Mus musculus: one gene and its partners. The protein of the gene in region 1 purifies or fractionates together with the protein of each later gene. This does not show direct contact. Links are inferred from orthologs where the notes say so. Each region holds a gene or a part of one and is shown on either strand. Other genes may lie near its edges. The genes, in order: Git1, Grk2 and Nck1.

What was found.
Region 2: the proteins of Git1 (region 1) and Grk2 purify together in Homo sapiens (affinity purification with western blotting; 4 studies listed by BioGRID and IntAct, with this or other methods). This does not show direct contact. The link is inferred for Mus musculus from reciprocal best matches to the Homo sapiens genes GIT1 and GRK2.
Region 3: the proteins of Git1 (region 1) and Nck1 purify together in Homo sapiens (affinity purification with mass spectrometry; 4 studies listed by BioGRID and IntAct, with this or other methods). This does not show direct contact. The link is inferred for Mus musculus from reciprocal best matches to the Homo sapiens genes GIT1 and NCK1.

What each region holds. Positions count from the first base shown.
Region 1 is NC_000077.6:77,503,365-77,505,940, reverse strand, and holds part of Git1 (ARF GTPase-activating protein GIT1), read right to left. Parts: coding exon 2,513-2,576; intron 2,021-2,512; coding exon 1,923-2,020; intron 1,570-1,922; coding exon 1,458-1,569; intron 1,343-1,457; coding exon 1,209-1,342; intron 1,074-1,208; coding exon 690-1,073; intron 619-689; coding exon 565-618; intron 438-564; coding exon 351-437; intron 262-350; coding exon 188-261; intron 62-187; coding exon 1-61. UniProt on the Homo sapiens protein: GTPase-activating protein for ADP ribosylation factor family members, including ARF1.
Region 2 is NC_000085.6:4,303,305-4,307,397, forward strand, and holds the start of Grk2 (beta-adrenergic receptor kinase 1), read right to left. Parts: upstream 2,919-4,093; 5' UTR 2,711-2,918; coding exon 2,598-2,710; intron 1,890-2,597; exon of another isoform or gene 1,818-1,889; intron 1-1,817. UniProt on the Homo sapiens protein: Specifically phosphorylates the agonist-occupied form of the beta-adrenergic and closely related receptors, probably inducing a desensitization of them. Key regulator of LPAR1 signaling.
Region 3 is NC_000075.6:100,543,214-100,547,658, forward strand, and holds the start of Nck1 (cytoplasmic protein NCK1), read right to left. Parts: upstream 2,922-4,445; 5' UTR 2,892-2,921; coding exon of another isoform or gene 2,244-2,891; intron 1-2,243. Other genes in the region: Gm46139 (synapsin-1-like), read left to right, coding at 2,244-2,891. UniProt on the Homo sapiens protein: Adapter protein which associates with tyrosine-phosphorylated growth factor receptors, such as KDR and PDGFRB, or their cellular substrates. Maintains low levels of EIF2S1 phosphorylation by promoting its dephosphorylation by PP1.

The DNA of each region.
Region 1 (2,576 bases):
CTCCAGCTCAGGGTGCAGCTCATCCTCCTTGCTCAGCTCTAGGAATCGCTTCCCTTCAAGCCTAACTCAGGTAGGAGGGGAAAGGAGCCATTCCAGCCACTGACGGCTTCTGCACCTGCATGCTGGGCCCTCACCGCCTCCCCTCCAGGCGCTCACAGGGCTGGGTAGAGACCCCCAGGTATCTCACCCAAGCAGAGGGTCCCCACTCTGTGTGTTCTCATAGTCACTGTCCGCACCACTGCCGTGGCGTGAGAGCTTGCTCTGGAGGGTGGGGAGGGGTGATGGGTGAGCACACACTCCTGGACCTGTGTAGCCCACACACTGCCCCTGGGCCCTGGGATGGAAATTACCGCGTGGCGACTTCCTTCTTGGGAGCACGACAGCAGTGGGGAGGAGGGAGTGAAGGGCACAGAAGAGGCAGACACCCCCTTCCGGATCTGAAAGCCAGGACAGGGCCAGAGTCAGTCTCCACCTGTACTTCAGTGTCTGTCACGCGTAGCTTAACAGCTACTGGGGCTGGTGACTCACGGGTTCAGGGTTCACCCTTCCCCAGGTCCTGCTTACCCGATAAAGGCCGGCAGGGACATGCACTGAGTAGATGGCATCGTCTTCGAGCTCCTGAGGGAGCAGGGCAGTGTCAGAGTTAGTGTGACCCTCATTTCCCCCACCAAGGCCAACAGGCTACTCACCGTGCTGTGGAAAGGCTGGAGCCGGGTGGCGAGCTCGTCCCCAGGTGTACCTCCAAAGGGCTTCAATGCAGAGCCTGGCTCATACATAGAGAAGGCCTGGCGGTCCCTGCGGTGGGTGCTTCCACCAGGCCCCATGAGGGTGTGTTCTGCCCGTTCACTGGGAAGTGAGGGTGGAGGCACTGGTCCGGGTGGCTGCCGAAGCTGCAGGTTCTCTGCCTGCAATTTGTGGATCTCCCTTTGCAGCCGCCGCAGCTCGTCACTCAGGCTGCTGTTGACCTTCATGAGCTGTTGCACCTTGGCCTCGGAGGTAGCCAGAGCCTTCTTCAGCTCCAGGTACTCCTGCAGTGTCACTGCCCCATCTGACAGATCTGAGGAGTCCATGCTCTGTAGGGACAGAAGCCAGTCAGTCTTGGGGACAGAGGCTGACCAAAGCTGGGCTATGTATAACATGGAACTGGGTCTAAAGGCCAGAAGGAACAGAGGAGACTACGGGAGGGAAGAGTAGGGTCAGTGTCAGACCCTGGCACGGTTGTTCCGCGTGGCGCCTGCACTGGGCAAGGGCTCCTGGTCCGTGTCTTCGTCGGAAGCCACGCTGTCGTAGTCGTGCTGGTCATCCAGCTCGCTCTGGCTCCGTGCAGACAGCTCAAGGTTGTCTAAAGACAGAAGACCTGTCACTTGGGCCTGCTCAGCCACACACATCATTTATCAAGATCCCAGGCAAAGGTGACCGCAGGGCCTGCAACAGTGCCTTAGCCTGTGCGCTCCCACCTGTGGGGCTGCTTAGACTCTTGCCCTGCTGCCTCCGTTTGGCCTCACTGAGAATGTCGATGATCAAGGTGGCAAACTCTCGGGCATTGAAACGGGCCAATTTCTGTCGTCCCTACAAGGCGGAAAGGACAAAGCCGGCATGAGGGACCACTTCTGGTTGGCTCAGGGGCAGGAACAGAATAGCAAAGCAGGACGCTGCCATCCCATCCATTCACAGCTAAAACACCCAGCCCAACATCAGCAGGGTGGTAGCCCAGGTCAGCAAAGCCTTAAGGCACCCAAGGGAGCCCTTAGGAGGCTAAAATACCCAGCAGTACTAGAGAATAGCTCCATCCCATTCCTAGTCAGACTCTGAGGGAGGCCTTGGGAGAGCCTGCCTGGGTGCCAGCTTGTCTCTGGCTAAAGAAGGGCAGGGCCCTCAGACTGAAAGGAAACCACCCAGGCCTCCCACCTATCCCTCCTCACCTGATTCCGAGTGGCTGAGTATTCAGGGTTGACTGGCAGGAAGGGCACAGCACTGCGCTCCGTCACCAGGGTGCTATGATTTTGGGTAGCTAGCCACACTGTGGGGGAAGGGCAGGGAGCAGATCACCCATGGTGAATGGGCCCTCAGAGAAGCACTGAGCAGAGCCCCCCAGGCCCTCTATTCTGACTGGGTCAGTGTCACAGGAAGCAGGGTCTCCACGAACACAAAAGCTGGGCCACACCCTGTGAGCCCCGCCCACTGACAACACAACAAGGCAGGGCCCACCAGGCCAGACCCAGAGTTTGGGTTGGAATCTGGCTGTGGCCAGGAAGGAGTGATGCAGGGTAGGGGTGGAGCATGGCTGGGGAGACAGCCAGAATGGGAGGCAGCCAGAGCAACATGAGCTCCAGTGCCTGGTGGGTAGGGAGGCAGCTGGCTCCTACTGCCCAGTGGGGGATGGCAGGGACTCACCCCAGTAGGTCTCAGAGCAGTACCCCGTTCCCCTGGTTCCCTGGGTCCTTGCTCTTTGCAGCAGGTCCCTTACGTCTACTGTGTCCTTGCTCTTTACAGCAGATCTCTTACCACTCACCAGCATCATTTTCTCTCCGATCCACCTCATCATACACATCCATGGCAAGTTCCTCAAAAAGCCG
Region 2 (4,093 bases), on another chromosome or scaffold:
TAGCTTTGCCAGGGCAGCCTGTGTTTCAGCAAATGGCAGAAGGGTTGGGTCTTGTATACCGTGACAGCTGATGATGCCAGAAACTGCCCTGCTACTTTCAGGCCACCACCCCAGACCCACAGCTCCCACGACAAGTGGTTTCAGCCATCCCATCCCACAAACCAATTATATGGGAGTGGGGGAAAGAGACAAAGCACTGACAGGAAGAGACTGTGGTTGGGACTCCAAGGACCTGTGACCCAATCCCAGATCTTCTGTGTGACAAGCCTCAAAGCTCGGTTAGTAAATGAAGAAATACCACCTGCTGGGTCAGCCAGCGTCCCAGAGTTGTGAAGACAAGACACTTCACAGATTGGGATATATTGGGCACACATGAGACACGATCACAACTACCTTCAAGGGTGAGAGATACCTGCCTCAATAGTGTGCAGAGCGCGTCACCACGTAGGGAACCTGCCTTCCATCATGAGAGGCTTGCATGCCTAGGGCCACAGCACTGCAGGGTGACTGTCTGAGCATACCAGTGGGCAGAGTTAGAGGCTCCTAACCATTCACAGACTGAGCAGTTGGCCCAACAACATCCTACTGATGGTGACCCTGCACCTGTGGTATCGCTTCCTAAAACTCACAGCCTGCTGCAATTTTGTTCACAGCTATTACCCCATCCTGGTACTGTTGGCCTTGCCAACTTCACATGTTGGTTTTTGGATCAACTGAGATGACAGATGTCAAAATAAATAATGAATTATTAAACTTTCCATTCTTATTCAATCACATCACATCACAACTGCCACCATATGAAAAGGTAAAAAGAAAGAGGTACAGCTCGTTTTTCAGGGTTCTTGAACACCAGCAAGGAGACGACCGGAGGTAGGGTCTATTAGGAGCAATGCATTCTGGGGAAAGATTGTCCAGACACAGAGAGTTCTAGAAAAGGCACCACCTTAAACTTTGCAGACCTCCACCTGCAGAAGAACCCCATGGCTGTGGCCGCCCAGGAGAGCACTACAAGCCCAAGATGCGGACTGCCCCTCCCCCACTCTTCCCTTTAAGTTTTGTCATTTCTGAACTCATTTTCATCCTAACTGCTGCTGCCCCTAGACAGCCCCAGCTGACACTCAGTCTAGTTCCTGTTTTGAGAAATCTGATTGCAAATGTCTTAGAAAAAAGGGGGGCCCAACGGCCTCTTCAAAACACAGACCAATTTTTCCTCTACAGGGCTTGGTTCTCAGTCAAACTGAAACCCAGTGTGCAGCCACTGGAGGAGGGGGCACGGTGACAGGCACAGCAGCAAGCCCGCAACCTGCCCACCTGGCTCTAAGGACAGAGGACACCAGAGGCCTATTTCACACTGCCCACTGGGGGTAGAGCATGTTCTACCACAGAGAATGACAGTAAAATCAAGGCCAACTCTTGGCTGTTAAAGGAGTTGGCATGGGAGGCTACTGGGACTGGCCTCACCACCCACCAGGAGGCATCCTGGTGGGTGGACACATCTCCTCTTCCAGATGCAGGACAGACGTCCAGGCCACCCTTCAGGTCAGGACAAAACATAAAACTCGAAGCTGAGAGCCCTGATGTGGAGGCCAGGTGACACTGCACAAGCCATTCCAGTCTGAGTTGTTTCCCCTCTCACACACACACACCTTGTTCTATGGGAACAAAACTACACCTGTCTCACTCGCTCTCTGGTCTCCTGTGCAGCTCAAATAGGAAGATAAGTCTATTTACCATAATATACTGGACAAGCCCCAGCTACACCTCTCACATCCTGCCCTGTTCTGCACCCACATCCTGGACAGTTTAAACTTTGATACCAGGTGCGATGACATCAGTTGTCTTGTAGAGAGGTGGCAGCATGGTCCATCTGCTGTAGGATGGGAGGTCCCCTGGTCAAAAGTACCCATAAGGAACCACAAGTGGGGAAAAGGGTAAAGTAGGGACTTCCCTCACCCACCGGAGCGCAGCCCTCAGGAATGGTACACTGCACTGTCCCCAGAAAGCACTCTCAAACCCAATCCCATAGTGACCCCACCATAGGGGAAGGCAAAATAAATAAATAAATAAATAAATAAATAAAAGTCTTCAAATTGGTCCTCTTCACTCCACAAACCTCACAAGAGTGTTACCCACTCCACGGGGAGTGGATAGGGTAGTGGAATACCAACGGGAGCAACAGACTGTGTGATACAATCGGGTAAACAGAGGCAGACTTGAGGAAGGGAACCACAAGGGAACACGAGAGGGTAGAGGGCAGAGCCAAGCATCAGGGTGGAAAGAAGGCTGCAGCAGAGTCAGGGGCTGACAGCGACCAGGCCGGGCAGTGAGATACAGGAAGCGGCAGGGCGGCCCAGGGCTAGGAGCTTGGACTTGGGGCGCCCAGGGCTTGCGGACACCAAGCCTTGCGGCGGCAGGGACAGAGGAAGTCTCCGGGTCCTGGGGCGGCCAGAATAATGGGGTCTCCGGGGCAGAAGGTCCCCGGAGTAGAAGGGGTTCCCGGGTCCTGGGGCAGAAGGTCCCCGGAACCTGGGGCGGAGGGGGTCCCTAGGGCACGGGATCCCGGGGCGGCGCGTGGGGCCCGGCACAGGCGGGCTCACCTGGGCTCTGGCAGCAGGATCTTCTTGCTGGCGCGCGCGGCCGGCGTGGCCTTGCTCTTCTCCATGGCCATCAGGTAGCTCACATCGGCCAGCACCGCCTCCAGGTCGGCCATCTTGGCGGCGGCGGCGGCGCTGTTCCTCCCGCCGCCCGAGGCTCCGCTCCGCTCCCGCTCGCTCGGCCCGGCCCGGCCCGCGCGGCTTGTGGGCCTCGGCGCCGCCGCCGCCCCGCCCGGTCCTCGCTCGTCGCCGGCTCACAGGCGGCGCCGCCCCATGGCGCCGGCTCGGGCCCGGCCCGGCTCGCGCTCCGCTCCCGCCGGGACTGCAGTCGGGGCGCCGCCGCCGCCGCCACCACCACCACCACCCGCTCGCCCGCGCCCCGGAGCTGCCGCCGCCGCCTCCGGCCCCGCCTGCCGCGCACAGCGCCAGCGAGCCGCCGAGGGGCCGAGCCGGGCGGGCGGCGGGCGGGCGGGCAGGCGACAGCGCCCCCTAGAGGCTGCACCGCTCGGGTCCGAGACACGGGTCTCAGTCCTGGTTTGTTACCTGAGTCTTCCACCAAGGACTCTAGGATGACCTCAGACCCCAAGCCATGACCACAAACGCGGATCCCATCTCAGCATGCTAGACTGCACGCTCCACTAGGGCCAAGACCGTGGGTCCTAACAAGAATCCTGACACCGACCAAGACTCCTATACTCAAATTTCTGAACATTCTCTCAGAGTCACACCATCATTACCACCCCTGACTCCTGACCTGACCAGATGACAATCCTGACTTCAAACTCCCAACAGGACCCCAGACTCAGAGCTTGGGCCGCACTCCTGACATGAACGTTTGTTGTTGTTCTTGTTTTAGAGAGGGTATCCCCGTGTAGCCTTGGCTAGTCTGTAACTCACTATGTAGACCAGGCAGACCACTAATTCACAGCGATCTGCTTTCCTCTGCCTCCCAAGTGCTGAAATGGATTAAAGGCATAGTCCATTAAACCACACTCTGATGAACGCCGAACTCATTAATTGATCGATCGATTGACTGATCAGTTGATTGATTGTGTATGCACATGTGGAGGTTAGAGGACAGACAATTTGACCATCAGTTCTCTCTTTTTACCACATGGGTCTCTAGGGATGGAACTCAAGGTCCTCAGGCTTGGTGGCAAACATTTTACCCACTGAGCCCTTCTGTGCCTTCTTCCTTGGCCAACTCCTGTCTACTTTACCTGGCTAGCACACGAGAGGCAAAAGCAGGTGTCTTTCTGTAAAGTCAAAGCCAACCAGGGCTATAGAGTGAGACCCCGTCTTAAGCAAATGAGTGAAAGCAATTTAAACTGCACACCTCTCTAGAGCACCTCTTTGCTTTCCAGGCTGCCAGGACACTCCCACCCCAGGCATGGACACTTAGAACCTGATTCTCCTGCCAGTTCGTGTCCAGCAAAGCAAGTATCCCGACTCCCCTGACTTCTTGACTCCTTCAGAAGAAAACAAATCCTATTAGGGGA
Region 3 (4,445 bases), on another chromosome or scaffold:
GCAAGGGGAAAAAAAAAGTCAGCTGGGGAAAGGATGTTTAAGAAAAAAGCACAGCAATAACTACACAAGCAAATGTCATCACAAAACACACCGCTCTGTGCGCTAACTTAAAAAGAAAGAGGGCGTGCGAAACAAACAAACAAAGACTCAGTTTAACATAGGTAACAGAAAATCTTGACAACCTTCACTCAAATCACAATTAAATTTCTAGGGACTGGAAAGATGTCTCCAGTTAAATTCAAGTATGGTTCTTGCAAAAGATCCAAGGCTGATTCCCTACAACAGGAGGCTTGTGACCCCCTGTAAGTATCTGACACTTTCTCCTGGCCTCCCTTTTCAGGCACCTGCCTCTTGTGCACATATCATGCCCTCAACATACATACAAGCACACACTTTTTAAAAATGTTTAACAATATGTAAAACAATGTAACTCTGGATGGGTGTCAAGATGCCTCTGTAGTTAAAGGTACCTACAGCCAAGCCTAAAAACCTGAGTTCACTTCATGGGACCTCTGTGGGGGACAGAGAACTGACCCCTCACAAGCTGTCCTGACTCTGGGTGTAGAAAATATAATAACCAATCACTTTTTTAAAAAATAGAACTTTAGACTGATGATACACCTCAAAGGTTTATGAGAAGCCATTGGTCTCACCCCAAAACTGAGGGAAGGCAAAAGAGACAGGAGAGGGAAAGAGAAGAGAGGGCGGGGAAGGGAGGAAGGAAATTAAGGAAGAAGGAAAGCTTAGCGAACTTTTCCTTTGCAAAGTTAGTAGTTTGCAGAGAATGTTTCTGTATTAGGACAGATGGCTCAGTGGTTAAGAGCTCTTGCAGAGGATCTCTGTTCTGTCCCCAGAGTCCACAGCACATGTCGTACAAAACACTACAAAACACATAAAATAAAAATAAACCCTTAAAAGACTGGAATCTAGAGGAAAGATATTACTAGTGTCTAAACAGTGAAAAATATGTTCAAAGTATTATTTTAAGATCAGCACAGGCAGAACACATTTGAGATCCTCCAGGCAGAAAATCCAGTTAGAGTTACTGAGTAGTTCAGAAACTGAAAAACAATATATAAGAATACAAAGGTAAGATTTTTTTTTTAAAGAAAACAACTACAAAAAAACAGTACAATGTTAAGGTTTATGTCTGGGTTCCTGAAAGCATGCTACTAATGTATCGCTAATGAAAGACAGCTTGGAGGCGTGGGGCATCAGTTGTGAAGGGAAGACTTTGAAGTTCTATTTCCTTGATAGGTTAAAGTGAGAATCAGGCAGGCCTGTCAAATTGTCGTCAAACTGTTGGATTTGTTAAATGCTCAGTTCACGTTTCCTCCAATTTTACTTAACAGTGAAATAATCATTTGATTTTCTGGCATTGAAAGCATCCATTCTTCCACATTGCCAGAGTTAATTCATTTTTTTTCAAGTTCTCCTGAGAAGGAATTTATTTACAATAATAATCACAACAAGCCTTGAACTCTAGAACGAAGTTCTCAAATTAGAAAATCAGCAGCATAAACTATCACTCAATGTTTAATAAGGCAATACATTAACGTGTCGACTTATTAATACACGGATCTGTTGGGCTTGGAAACCTAAACAATTTAAAATGCTTGCTGGGGAGGCAAATCTTTTCAAACATAATGCTCATACATACAGCGGAGACATCAACACAATGTACGCTTTAGTTACTCTAGCCAATTCCTACAGAAGTTTTCCCAGAGAAAGCACCACATGTGGCCACGATGAAAAAAAAGTACTAATCAACCAACGCATACGCTTTGACTTAACTATCACGATGTGAAGAGAATATCTATTTAAAAACAAGACTGAAAATGATCAATCAAAACTTTCTCCTTGGACTATTTCTCTGTTCATGTTGTGACGTCGCTAAAGGCTGAAAGCACACAATTGATTTCCAGGTGCTTAAGAAACCGTTAAGGCTGATTGATCATCATCAAGCTACCAAAGCTTTTGAAAATGGAACGCTTCTTGCAAAACTTGACCCGTTTTTTTGGCCGAACCCTGGATTCTCACTGCTCCCCACCCAAGATGGGGTCAGGAAGTTTTCTTCATCTCGTTCTTTCCTAACTCCTGTGAATTCTTTCCTAACTAAGGGCAGTATTTTTCTTCGGGTGACTTCAGCTCGGCTCGACGTTAACCGGTCATGTTACGGTCCTCAACCCTGAACAAAAAACCAGCTTCCTTCCAACCCAGCTGTTAACACTGAACCGACCTAGCACGGAAACCCGTACGACAACAGTACGAAACCAACCCAGAGGACTGCTTTTCCTGGACCAACCCCACCTCAACAGCCCCCGGACACCCACATCTCTCCTGCTCCGGAACGGGAGGGGGAGGGGAGGGCGCGCCCCGAGGATGTCCCCCCTCTCGGCTTCCTCAGGCTGGCGGCTGGAGGTGAGAGCGCCCTTCCTGCCAGCCTACCGTCCCGGCCTCGGACACCGACACAGACCGCCGACAGGGCTTTCTGCGGAGAACCGCCGAGGCAGCGCGCCGCACACTTGCCTGCCCGCCTCCCCGACCGGCGCTCGCAGCTCAGGCCAGAGGCCGCGGGGTCACCGGGCTGCACCGCGGACACCCGAGCTCCGCCGAGCGGCCTCCCCGCCCCCTCCGCTCCGCTCCGCCGCCAGCAGACGGCGCCCCCGGGCCAACTTCGCCGGGGAAAGAGGAAGCGACTAGAGACTAGCAGGCAGAGCGGACCGACCGGGAGACCGAAAGGACTGTGCGTGTGTCCGCACGCGAGCGAGGCCGTCTCACCTTCCCTCCGCCGAGCCCTCGGCTCCAGTCACCTGAGGACCGCACCGGGACGCCACCGCGGCTGCCCGGATGCCGTTACCGCACGAGGCCTGTGCTGCGCCGCCGCGTAGCTCTCGGAGAGGGGCGGGGCGCGCGCAACCGGTGGGCGGACCGTTGCGGGCAGGAAACCCGCTCCACGCCCAATCTAATAGGCTCCATCGCCTCCTGCGCCCGCCCCTGACGCTTCAGCGGAATGCGCCGCTCCGGGATTGGGCGAGCGGGCTTGTCAATCAAGCGCGGGCCCTGAGTGGTCCCTGAGCTGAGACTGCGCGGCCTTTGGACAGAAGGTGAGGAGCGCCGGGCCCCACCGCCCTGTTCTCCCCTAGCCTCCTCGGTGGCTGCTTACTTTCCGCCTCTCCCACTGCTACTAAAACCTGTCATTCATTTTAAATCGCTCATTAATGTCGAACAGCGGTCCCGAGTTCAACCCAGACTACTCTGGTGCCTGCATCTGAAAGGGCCGACCAGCTGCAGATCTTAGGGACAGGGAGCGACAAAGAAAATGAAGCCTCGGGGGAAAAATGTAAGATGTTTGTTAATGAAAACCACAACCAAAATAAGCTTTGCGAGCAACTTCCGAGTGCCCTGGCGCGTGGGTAGCCTTCATTCCCGGCTTCCAGTCCTGTGAAAAGGACAGTTACTTCTGCCCTAGGGGTGAGTATGGCAGTGGCACAGTCCCAGCCACCTGCCAAGGAAGGCATCAATAAATCGGCTCTCCTTCCTAACTTGCCTTACAGCGACTCATAACCTGCCTCACTATTTCCCAATCACCTTTGTTGCTTAGTGTGGGTGTGGCACCTAAAAGAAACATTCTAGGTTAGGTAATTTTATGGAAACACGAGTTTTTGCCTCCAGCGTAGCTGCACCCATATACCTAGATTGCAAAGTCTATTAAAAGAACTGTTTCACCCACGCCCACCTCGTGCCTAGCACATCATCCTCAACAATCGAGGAATTAATACAGCTTCCTTTCATCTTTTAAAAATTCATTTTTATTCTTTGTGTGTTCGAGTGTTTGGTGTACTTGTGTTATACTTGTGTATAATTTTGCTGCCCATGGAGGTCAAATGAGGGTATAGGATCTTCTGGAACTGGAGTTACAGATGGTTTTGAACCACCCTGTGGGTGCTGGGAATCAAACTCAGGCCCCTTGGAAGACCAGCGCTCTTAATCACTGAATCTCAGCCCCTTCCTTTAGCTATACTACAAGCCCTACCTGTAAATCCTAAAAAGTTGTTTTCTGCTTTTAACTTAATTGCATGTTAATAAATACATGGGTGGCCTGCCCTAGGTAAAATACAAGTTACCTGTAGCCCCTTTTAATCCTGAGTTTAGTTGAGAAAAGTAGAACATAAAACTGGGGAAAGGATACTCTGCCTATTGTTAGTATCAAAAGTAAGTAATGCAAATTATATATTTAAAAACATACATACCGAAGAGAAGGGGGTGATGCATGCAGAAGCAGGTGGATCGAGGCCAGCCTGGTCTACAGATTGAGTGTGAGTTCCAGGACAGCCAGGGCTACCCAGAGAAACCCTGTCTCAAAAAACAAAAAGACAAATATATATATATATATATATATATGCAGAGACAGGTTCAAGTTCTGCAAGTTCAAGGCCACCCTG